Sus scrofa: one gene and its partner. The protein of the gene in region 2 interacts with the protein of the main gene of each other region in a pairwise test. Links are inferred from orthologs where the notes say so. Each region holds a gene or a part of one and is shown on either strand. Other genes may lie near its edges.

Region 1 (5,390 bases), on a different chromosome or scaffold from region 2:
CAGATAATATTGGTCACTCTCTTTCTTTGCTGCTGTATAGTGTATTAATGATTCTCAAAAATCTCCCTGTTTATCCAAGATGGAAACACTTGCACCAGAGCTGTATCCCCCCAACCACCCCATTGGCATTCTTCTCTCCCCCCTCCCCCCCACCCACTCCAAAGAGAAAAACAAATGCATGATGCCTATTGGGATGCCTTATTTTGAGGAGGCAGGAGTGTTTCCCCTCCCCACCTCTCTGCACTTCCTCAGTCAAGGAGGCCGTCTGCACAATCCCCTTCTTTAGCCTGAGGTTCAACTTCCCTATTAACAGAGACACAACACTTCACTGAAGCTGAAGTAAAAGAAATTTTCTGCTTGATGTGTTTTATATCCCATTATGATTTTGCCTGCACATCACATGCCTCTCTGAGGGGCAGAGGAGAATGTGTCTGGCACAAGGCTTTGAGGGAGGGTCCCCCCACTACTCAAAAACCAGAAGGGAAGACAAGATCCATTCATAAGGGGATTCACCCAAAGACTCCTGCTCTGCCCTCCAAAGAGTTCTCTCCTGCTCTGGAAACTTCCTCTACATCCAGGAACTCAACTGTGAGCCTCCAGCTCTTCCCCCTTTGTCTGGGTCTCTGCAGGGGGGCTGTGTGTCTGCCTTTCCACCGTGACTGTGGCAGGATTGATGGGTTTTCCCTGTCTAGCTTCTCAGATGCTCATTAGTTATGGGCCGAGACTGGAGGCAGGTCGTACATTAAATAGCTCAAAGTATGGATGAGTCAAATCAATAACTACCCCACTCCCTCCAACAGCATCCTGGCCACCACCATGATTTGGTGCTTACTTCCATTGGATGGGAGAGAGCGGAATCGCACATTTGCACATACAGAGCATTTGCCACAGTAAAGACCGATGAATAAAGTATATACAAGCTCTCAAGTAGGGGGATTGGCAAGGGAAAAAAACCAAGGGCTGGGGAAACCGACTCCATGGTGACAGTGGGAGCGGGGATTCCTGGAAGAGGCTCTTCTTGGTCACAGGCCCTAAAGCTAGAGGGCGCACCCAAACTCCCGCAAGACGCATTGTCTGATCACGAATGAAAAGCCTTTCCATTGAGAGGTGGGGGCCATCTCTCCTGACCCTTTGGGTTGCCAACAGTATTATGTAATCTACACGCCCAATGTAGACATTCCTAGAGTCCCCTAGGTGAGCCCTAGAAGACTCTCAAGCTCCTCTAGGATAGAAATCAGAGCTCATTCCCCAGGCTGGGCTCCGTGGAAGTGGGCCTGCCCTGGTTCCCTGGGCGTGGTGGGAGCAGGCCCCAAAGCAACCCCAATACCAGGGAAGTGGGTTCCAGAAAAGAAAACCTTCAGGCACCTTCTCAATGTTCATTTTCAACACCACCCCCAGCCATTTCTAGAAAGCCCCGCCCCTCAAAGACAAGCTGGGTGGTGGGATGCGGGGACCAGATGGGGGAAACATGCGACCTGGACGTGTGTCCAGCGTCCCTTCCTGAGGAGGCCAACAGGTGGTGACCCCGACCGGGGGCAGGCGCTGTTGGCTCACTGCCCAAGCTCCAGGTTTGGCTGAGGTGAAGTCTGCCCCTTTCAGAACCACATCCGCTTGCAAGCACCCAGCCCGCTAATAAGCCATTGACCTTGAGTTTGAGTCTAGGGCTGATTTGCTGCTCTGTCTGGGGGAACCCCAGGGGCCTTGTGGCTTAACAGGAAGAAATCCTCCTCATTTTAGCAGCAATTTTTTTTCCCTCTCTTCCCGCCACAGTGATTAAATTAACAGGCTGCTTCTCCTCGGAGAAAATGTGTCCACGGTTCCCAGGAGGCACTGCCCATTTGCCCGTCTGATGGGTGTGGGAGGGGAAAGCAGTGAAGTGGGGAAGTTTGCGTGTGCGCCTGTGTCACTCCCCACCCCACCCCACTGCCCCCATCCCCGGGAGGGTCTCTCCCACCTGCGGTGGCTGCCCAGCCAGCAGCGAGACCACGAGGAGGGCAGGTGCCAGAGTCTTAGCTGCAGGAGGCCTGGCAGGATGCTGAGTACACACTGCTGCCCACCGTGGCCCCGCAGCTCAGGCTGCTGGTGGGACACTTGAAGGGCTTCATGCTGCTGTCCCTCTGGATGTGCAGGTGCTCCAGCCGCCAGCGCTCCCAGCTCTTCCGAAACTCCATCTGGACCTTCCGTGGGAAAAGGAGGGAAGCAAGAGCCGTCATGCAAACCAACTGCCTACAGAACGGCCCCGTTATTACATTAGGAGGGCAGGGGAAAAATCCGCTGCCTTATATTCAGAGACACAAGTCAAGGCCTTCAGGCGCCTAAATTAATATCCCAATAAAATTGTTTCTTGTTGTCTCCTATCTTCTGCCTCTTCTCGGGAGAGAGATGGGCTTGATGATCTAATTGGTCTCTTCCATCTCTATATTCTGTGACTCAGCTAAGTACCTTTTACGATCCATCACAGTATTATTATTTAATGGAAGAGAATGAGTGACAGAGAGATACGGGGAGACGGGAGAGAGAAGAAATGAGGAGAGAATCTGACTTCAGAGCCCTCTCCCTGCTTCCCTGTGGACCGAGCACACCCCAACTCCTCATGGTGCGCCAACGAGACCTTTCTGAACTCCCCAGGGGCTTTTACCCCGGCCCCGGTGCCTCTTGCGTGAGGAAGCAAAAGGGCTGGGACTAGTAGCACCAGTGAGGAAGGGGCTGTGGACAAGGGCTTTTCTGCCTGGATTAGACTTAAGTCCATCCAGGACCTGGTCCCCACTCACAGAGGATGCGGCCCAGGTGAATTCAGCCAAGAATCCCTGCTGTGCTGGGCTCAGCCCGTCCCTCCAGGAAAAGCCTTCTGGAGAGGGCTGATGCTCGGAGACCAGGTTGCTGGGGCAGAAAGACAAGTGACCGCAGAGCCCCAGTCACTGGAGAGCTCATGGCAGTGCCAGGGCTCCTTGTGACAGCCCATGACTCTGGTTCCCCAGACGGGCTGCTGGCATCTGCACAGCCAGCCCAGGGCATCTTTCCATACATTTGCTTTTCAGAGCTTCTTTGACGCCTCTCACCCTTGTCCCAGGCCTCCCCATGCCAGGACGCCTGGGCCTGAGCTCCCCCTCTCAGGCCCCAGCCCCCAGCAGCTGTGGGTAGGCGGCTCACTGCCAATGCCCCGTCAGTCCCTGTGCAAACATCCCTCTCCTCCCCCTGCAGGACTGCCATCCATCTAGCCAAGCCCAGTGAGATGCCTGGCGTGGCTGCATGCCATGCCTTAAAAGAACTTTTTCAGCTTCTCAGTGAAGCTGAGACGGCCCAGAGCCTGCCTATGGGATGGCCCCAGTATCCCGGACAGAATCATGGGGATCAGGCTTGGATACGGGAGGGAGGCCAAGCAGACAGCAGCCCTGGCTCCCTGCTCTGTGCCAGCTTACAACCCCAGGGAGCCCATGTGGTGTGTGTGTGCTGACAGCTGGGCTGAGGACAGACGCCTGAGGCAGTGGTGGCCTCTGCTTGTGCAGCAGCAGGAAGGCCAGCCCTTAACTGGGGAGGTGGGGAGGGAGACGGTCAGCTGAGGCACGTCCGTGGGAAGCTACCTCAGGGCCATGGAGGTCTCCTGGATGCAGCAGGAAATCAGACAGGACGGGGACCTGCCTCCAAGGTCCTCTGGCCGGGCACCAGGCCAGGCTCTGGGATTTGGGGGGAGCTGGTAAAGCTCATTCACCTGCACTGACACTTGGGCAGAGAAGCGGTGATCACCCCGGTCACACAGCCAGGTAGAAGCGGAACTGGAACCAGCACTCAGGCTCCTGAGTCTCAAGGGCCACGGCAAAGCCACCCCCAGGCCTTCCCCACCCTGCGCCCCCTCCCCTCCCACTGGCAGCTGGTGCAGATCTTGGCGGCCACGCAGGACCAATGCTAGGGTCAAAAGTACCTGGCATCACCATGGCAACCCTGGGTCTGGAGAATGGCGCCCATGGACAGAGATCTCAGGCCCAGGAGCCACACTGTTTTTGTGGCCCAGTGATGGTGACATGTGCCTGGAGGAGCCAGGGCAGTGCGTCTAAACAAGGACTTCTGAGCGGGGTCTCCTGGACCCCATGGCACAAGCCTAGGAGAGCCCTCGGCGGGAGGCCAGCTGGGGATCTGGTGATTCTCATACTTCAACATCTGCCCGGGAGGTTTTTCATGAGGACTCAGACGCTGGGGAGAATCAGGGCCACACATCCCGCTGCCTCTGCTGGTCCAGAGAGCACAGGATGAGGCCCGAGTGTCCTCTACACTCACCTACCCTCCTTCCTGGCCCCACCCAACGCTGAGCCTGGGGAGCCCCTGAGACCCACCCGTGGGAACAGCCAGACCCACTTATAAGTCACCCTTTAATCGGTGCTGCCCTCTCATCCCTGCCCAGCGGGCCTGAGGCATTAGTGAGGCCCCCTCCCCTGGCCTAGCAGCTCCACTGCCTTCTAGCTGTGGAACTGGGACTGTTCATGTCACTTTGCTGAGCCTTAGTTTTCTCATCTGTAGAATGGAGATAATCCTGCCACCAGGATTGGAGGCAATAAGACACTTGGGCACATTATACACCGGCAGCACCTGGGAAAGGTCACTTCCTCTCCCTTTCAGAGATCGGAAGGCCACAGGCTCCAAGCTGATCCTTCCATAGGAGGCCAGTTCAGGGGGCTGGGGAGCCTCAGGGACAGACAGGGGCGCACTCCGCCTCCCTGTCACCAGGCCCCCTTTTGTCTCTGCAGCGTCCTGTGCAGTGTCCAGGCTCTGGGAGTGGCTGAATACTGGGATGATGGCTACATAACCGCTTCTGCTTCTGGAGCGTCTGAGAGGTGGTGGGGGCACGTTTCTTCATGCCAGGCAGCACTGAGCGGGGCTGGGTGAGCCTCAGCGCCTGCCTCGAAGGACGGCTGTGCTCGGCTCTCCCTGCCCACCTCTTCCAGGCTCCACCTCACTTAACCCTCAAGAACCGCGGAGGTAGGCATTGTTACCCACACTTCGTAGACAGAGAAACTGAGATTCAGAGTGGGTTTTCGACCTGTCCAGCATCACACACACAGCTCATTAAGTGATGGGGCGAAATACAAATCTGACTGTATTTTGAATGTGCTGACTCTAAGATCGCTGAGCTTAAACTGTCTCATCTGTAAAATGGGGCTTAACATCTGCTCCACAGGATTGGATATATAATTAAACACTTGAGCCCGTGGGCACTCAGCCAGCACTCAGGCAACGTTGTTTTCCTCCCTTTTATTTTTTATTGCTTTGTCTTATGTCTTTCTAGGGCCATACCCGCAGCATATGGAGGTTCCCAGGCCAGGGGTCCAATTGGAGCTGAAGCCACCAGCCTACACCACAGCCACAGCAATGCTGGATTCTCAACCCACTAAGCAAGG
Region 2 (5,851 bases):
TCTTCCTGTAGGAGAGCAACTGCCAGAGCAGCAGGGACCTCGGCTGACCCAGAGGAAGCCTGCAGCGCTTTATCCTGTGTTTGACAGTGCACCAGCCAGGCTAGTACTATTGTCCCGTGGTGCTGCCCGCTGGCCTGCCAGGGAGGAAAGCTGTCACTTGTGGATAGGCTCTTACTGCCAGCACCAGCACCCTAAGATAACCGCTGAGCCAAGCCTCAAATTCCCCTTTCCAGAGCTGCCAGGGTCTCTGCGTGGACTCCTCTGCACACTGGGGTCTACGAGCCTCTGTAGTCGGAGGACAGTGGGTGAGGCTGGGTCCCCTCGGCCCACCCCCAGGGAGGAGATACAGTTTATCCCATGGAAATGAGCCAGGAGGTCTCTACCTTGGTCCTTTGCTGTATTTTCTCTGTTTGTACATTTCATTTGAGATGTGCTTTGGGGTATAGATTATAGAATTTATCCTTTACCCTGTCAGTCATTACTGGGTCCTTTTTCATACTCAGGTTTTAAAAGAAATATATTTAATATATATATTCCATTGTCCTCTACCCAGACTCATGTCCTTCTCATAATGTCTTAAACACATACACACACAGGTGTGTGTGTGTGTGTGTTAGCTATTAGGGTCCATTATTTCATTGGCAATTATAATTCTTTAAAAACAAAACATATTGACATCTTTACCCTAACGACATGGTCCTATAAATTGTTTTAGACTCTGTTTTGATTTGCTTATTTTTTGTTTTGTAGAGAGTAGCTGTTTCCGATCTTGCCTATTTTGCCATGTCCTTCTGTCCTGTGTGACAGATGACCAATAATTCAGTGAGATCTTGGCACTGCTGAGAGCAGAAGGTGGTTTGTGAGGTCTGGTTTACAGTCAATCCCTTATCTCTGGTTTGCTTTCCATGGTTTCGGCGACCCCATGGTTAACCGCAATCTAATGTAAGATACTAGATGTAAGATATTAGAGACCACACTCACATAACCTTTATTACAGTATGTTGTTATAGTTCTCTTCTATTACTAGTTACTGTTGTTAATCTCTTACTGTGCCTGACTTATAAATTAAACTTTATCAGAAGCGTGTGTGCAGGAACAGGCATAGGGTCTATAGGGACCAGTACTATCCTTGGCTTCAGGTACCCACTGGGGGTCTGGGAACATATCCCCCGCAGATAAGGGGGGGAGCTACTGTACTTTGCTGATAAGGTTAAGCCTGCCCACCCAAGGAAGCCAGCATTCTTAGCAGCAATGGTAGTTGTAATAGTAATGATAATAAATCAGTGTATCAGCTTAAATCTGTTCCCATGAAGGGAAAAGCATCTCAAAATGTATTAACTTCTGGTAAGTAAATAGCATGATTAATCTTTTTATTGCAGGGCTGTTTAGCTTTCCCCTGCTCCTCATTTTAGAGGAAGCAAAAGGAGTCTAGGTGAGCAGTTCAGATATTTGAGGATTATGTTAAAGTGTTGAACACCTGTTATACGGCACTGCAGAATGCCCCCCTGAAACATGTGTGAAGTGACCCCTGCTTTTTAATCATCTCCTTATGGAGCTGGAAGTGGGGAAGTGCCTCAGGTCGGGGCTTTGGGGAAGCTGGGCCATTGGCCATTATTCTTTTGTGTATTTCTCGGAATGATCAATAAATGCCTTGTGCCAAGCATCTCCTTTTTTAGTTTAATTGCGAATGTTAATGAATAAACGCTCTACTGACCTACTTATGAATTTCAGGAATTTTGGAAAGCAAAAGACTGGACCTCGTGAAGGAGAAAACCATTAACCAGACCATTGGAAATGTTGTTTACTACGCGGCCGACTTGCCCATCTGGTGGCAGGTGCCCCAGTACGTGCTGATCGGCATCAGTGAAATATTCGCGAGCATCTCAGGTACAGGTCCTGTCAGGGCATCTGAGCCCAGGCCCGTCACAGCGTAGTAAAGGCCGTGCTATTCCCTTCCATGATGCTGTGTCAAGACAGCGCAGCACAGCACTTAGCGGCTCTGGGTGGGCCGCTGTGGTTCAGGGTCTGAACTGGTCAGAGAGTTCCTTTCTTGGAGTAGAAACGTCAGCATGGAATTCCTCTACTACTGTAGAAGTTCCACAGGAGAGGAAAGAAGAAGAAAGAGCCCACGGGGTGGGCTGGGTCTGACGCTTCCTACCAGGCCCTGCAGTCTGTGAGGCAGCCAGGCCTCGGGGTGTCCGCACAGCCCGGCTCTCGCCTTCAGATTTATAAGGAGCAAACCTAATGTTAAAACATGTTGGCACAGGCCTCTCTTGCCTCTCCGTGAGGCCCTGTGCTGCCCTGTGGACAAGCAAATTCTGTGCAGGCCTGTGTCCAGCTCCCGGGAGTGAGGGGAGGAGAAAATGAGTGATAACCAGGAGCCACCGGGCTGTGGGCAGTGATGCAAACTCCCCCCACCTCCCACAGAACCCATGCAAAGTTGGCTGACGCATTTGAGGAGGGAATAAATCAACAGGATGGCCTTTCATGTAGAACAGATCTCCGTGTCTGGTTATTTCACCAATGACTGAGTTCATGCACGGAGCTCCCGATGCCGCTGCGAGGCACTAAGACGGGGTTCCTAAGTGCTCTCCCTGCTGCAGTACAGCACTTTGTTTGCAGATTCCTGTTAGCTGAGAACTAGAGGGCTTTTGCTGCTCCTGCCTCTTTTTTTCCGACAGTCAGCTGCTTTCAGTGTGAGGGCTGGAAGTGACTTGCCCCAGAGATTCTGCAGGGCCCTGGGTGCTGGCCTCAGCAGGTGGGGCTGAGCCCCCCACCCCCCACCCCCATGCTCTGCTTTCCTTTTCCAGGCCTGGAATTTGCATACTCGGCTGCCCCCAAGTCCATGCAGAGTGCCATCATGGGCCTGTTCTTCTTCTTCTCTGGTGTTGGATCGTTTGTGGGCTCAGGGCTGCTGGCGCTGGTGTCCCTCAAGGCCATAGGGTGGATGAGCAGCCACACGGACTTTGGTAAGTGCCCCCCACCCCTGGAAAATAAGCAGGGCCGGGGGCCCCGGCTGCGGACACCTGGGTGGGGTGTGCTGGGTGTCACCAGGCTGAACTGGGAGCTGCCCTCAGCCTCGGCCACACCTGGTCAGCTTTGCTGCTGCTGTTTCCTCGGAGTGTGTTTGGTGAACAGACTCCACCTTCCTGCCCAACACTATGTTTATGAGGTGAAGGACATCTATATATGTATTTCCTTTCATTTACCTTTTCGTAAGTGGTTTCTTTTTTTTTTTTCCTTTCATTCTCCTGTCAGTACCTTTTAGTTTTCTGTTACATAGAAATAGATAATAAGCTGCCTTTTTATTTTTTTATTTATTTTTACTTTTTTTTTTGTCTTTTTGCCATTTCTAGGGCCGCTCCCGCAGCATATGGAGGTTCCCAGGCTAGGGATCGAATCAGAGCTGTAGCCACCGGCCACAGCAATGTGGGATCTGAGCCATGTCTGCAACCTACACACAGCTCGTGGCAACGCCAGATCCTTAACCCACTGGCCAAGGCCCGAAACCTCATGGTTCATAGTTGGATTCGTTAACCACTGAGCCATGGCAGGAACTCCATGAGCTGCCTTTTTAAAAGCAAATGTTACTCACCATGGATCAGAGTGGAATTTTACAGCTGATACCAGTAGGTGGCATCTTGAACAAAACCACTCAGGAGATGAGAGCTCTGCGGTTTGCAGATTTAGGATACCTTTAAACAGGCCCAGGACATGGAAGTTTCTTTGTATATTTTACCAGTGAAAACCACCATGTTGCTTTTGATGTGCAGTCCTGTGACATTTGCTATCCCCTGAAAGCCACTTGCAGGTGAAAATCCCTTTGAACATTCTGATGAAAGCTTAGACATTTCTCAGAAATGGCAGAAATCCAAAAGCCTCCCCATGATGCAGGTGAAATTCCTGTCCTGCGTGGAGCTTAGGCCTTTAGATAGAGTCCTTGTGTAACTTCCAGGATCCGCCTCAGGCACTGTCAGGCTGTGGTCCAGCCGTGTGGGTGAGTGGTGTGTGGGCAAGTGGTAGGGCAGCCTCGCCATTGTGGTGAGGGGGCAGCAGATCTGGGCTTTGCTTGTCCCCGCCCCCTGGAGGGTAATGTCCGGTTCCACAGAGGTCCTGGTGTCACATTATCTGTACAGGACAGACCTCCTTCAGAGAGAGGCTTGTTACAGAGACCAAGCCCTTGCAGTTCTTAAGACTCAGGTTCTGTTTCTTTGTTTATGCTGTACTTGCAAATGTATGTATCATAAAGGACTGATTGGCTTTTGTCATTCTCTGCTTTCCAGTGATGTAACCCCTCATGACTGGCTCAGTAACTCGTAGATTCCCTGTCATGCGTCCTTTAGTTTTGATGGGCAGTTTTTACACTTTTTGGTACTTCTGTGTCCGGTGCATGTACAGATGTGGACCTGGACTCTGACTGTTGACCTTATTTTCGTGAGAAGGGAACTCTCTGTTGGCTGTGTGTTCTGGATCAGCTGCCTATCCGGATGCTGGTGTCGCCTCCTCGCCACAGCAGTGAGGGCCGTGTGAGTCTCCTACCTGCCAGCTCGTGTGTCCTGGGTATGAGATGAAGACATGGTGCAGGAGGACATGGCGGGTCTGCTCCCTCTGTTTAGGGGCTGGTGGATCTGGGAAGAGAATGGGACCAGGTGCTCCCCCCACACAGAGTCCTTGCTTGTGTAGAAGGAGCTGCCACTCTGACCCCAGACCCCATGGCTTCTCTGTTCTGAGCTCCTGCCAGCCTTGCCCCCACCAGGCCCTGGTTTCGCTGCAGTAGAGGAGGCGGAGGAGGAGCTGATGGACGTGTGTCAGGCTCCAGGAGAGCCCCAAAGGGAAAGGCACCCAGATTCTCCTCATTGTTTCCCCCTTTCCCCAGCTTTGTGATTGTTTATTTAGATTGGCGGTCACAGCCCTGCTATGAAGGGCACTGACCTTAGTGCACAGCCAGTCTCCTTAATTCAGATCCAAACACAGAACTATTGGGAAGGTGTCCTGGGTCCTTTCTTAGCCCCCAGGCCCCCACAAGATGAGCTGTTCTGCAGTCGGCTCAGTGATCCTTCTGCATCTCGTCCTCTGCTGTGGTCTCCTTTCCCTCAGCACTTGTCGGGGTCTCCCCTGCGATTGGGTCTATGTGACTTCTGTGGAGTGTCCCTGTACAACTAACCCTCATTCACCTGCACTGCGGTGGGTGGTGTTTGTGGTGTCTCCAGTTTGAGGCTTGGGAATAAAGCAGCTGGGCATGTTCTGGGACATGTTGGTGGACTCGTGTGCTTGTGTCTTGGGGCCCGGTGTCTGTCTCACTCGGGTAGAAAAAAACCAATGTTTACCGTCTTCATGTGTAAGTACCTTCTGTCTGTGGAGACGCCCAAGAAAGTATGGGTGATTGATCGCTTTTAGGTGGTGGGCCCATTCTGAGTGCCCTCCTAACCCCAAACTAGGACACCCTGGCAAGGGGCAGTGTGCATTTCTCTGCCTGCAAGGAAAGCACAGCATACGGTCGTGTGGCTGCTGGCTTTACGCTTTGGAAGTTTTAAATGACTCTCTAATTCTGAGAGACTCACATCAGAGTTGGCATGTAGAATGGCATGATTTATGCTTTGACAACAGCCTTGTCGTCGTGGCACCAACACCACCAGCACTGCAGCAGCGCCAGTGAACCAAGCTCCATTGGGGAGTCGGAGGAGGAAGGGGGTCCTGTGTCCAGGGCAGAGCCCTGCATGTAGTAAGGGCCAAACCATTATTTTATAAATATCTGTTGAGTAAGTAAGCCACTCTGGTAGGAAATTCTAGGTGTAACTGGATCTCTTCCATATAAATCATTGTCTTCTACAGCCCGAATGAGTGAGAATTC

What was found.
Region 1: the proteins of SLC15A4 (region 2) and GLP1R interact in a protein complementation assay, tested with the Homo sapiens proteins (2 studies listed by BioGRID). The link is inferred for Sus scrofa from reciprocal best matches to the Homo sapiens genes SLC15A4 and GLP1R.

Annotation. Positions count from the first base shown.
Region 1 is NC_010449.5:34,530,974-34,536,363, reverse strand, and holds the end of GLP1R (glucagon-like peptide 1 receptor precursor), read right to left. Parts: intron 2,178-5,390; coding exon 2,010-2,177; 3' UTR 2,008-2,009; downstream 1-2,007.
Region 2 is NC_010456.5:26,145,285-26,151,135, forward strand, and holds part of SLC15A4 (solute carrier family 15 member 4), read left to right. Parts: intron 1-1,731; coding exon 1,732-1,887; intron 1,888-2,810; coding exon 2,811-2,969; intron 2,970-5,851. UniProt on the Homo sapiens protein: Proton-coupled amino-acid transporter that mediates the transmembrane transport of L-histidine and some di- and tripeptides from inside the lysosome to the cytosol, and plays a key role in innate immune response.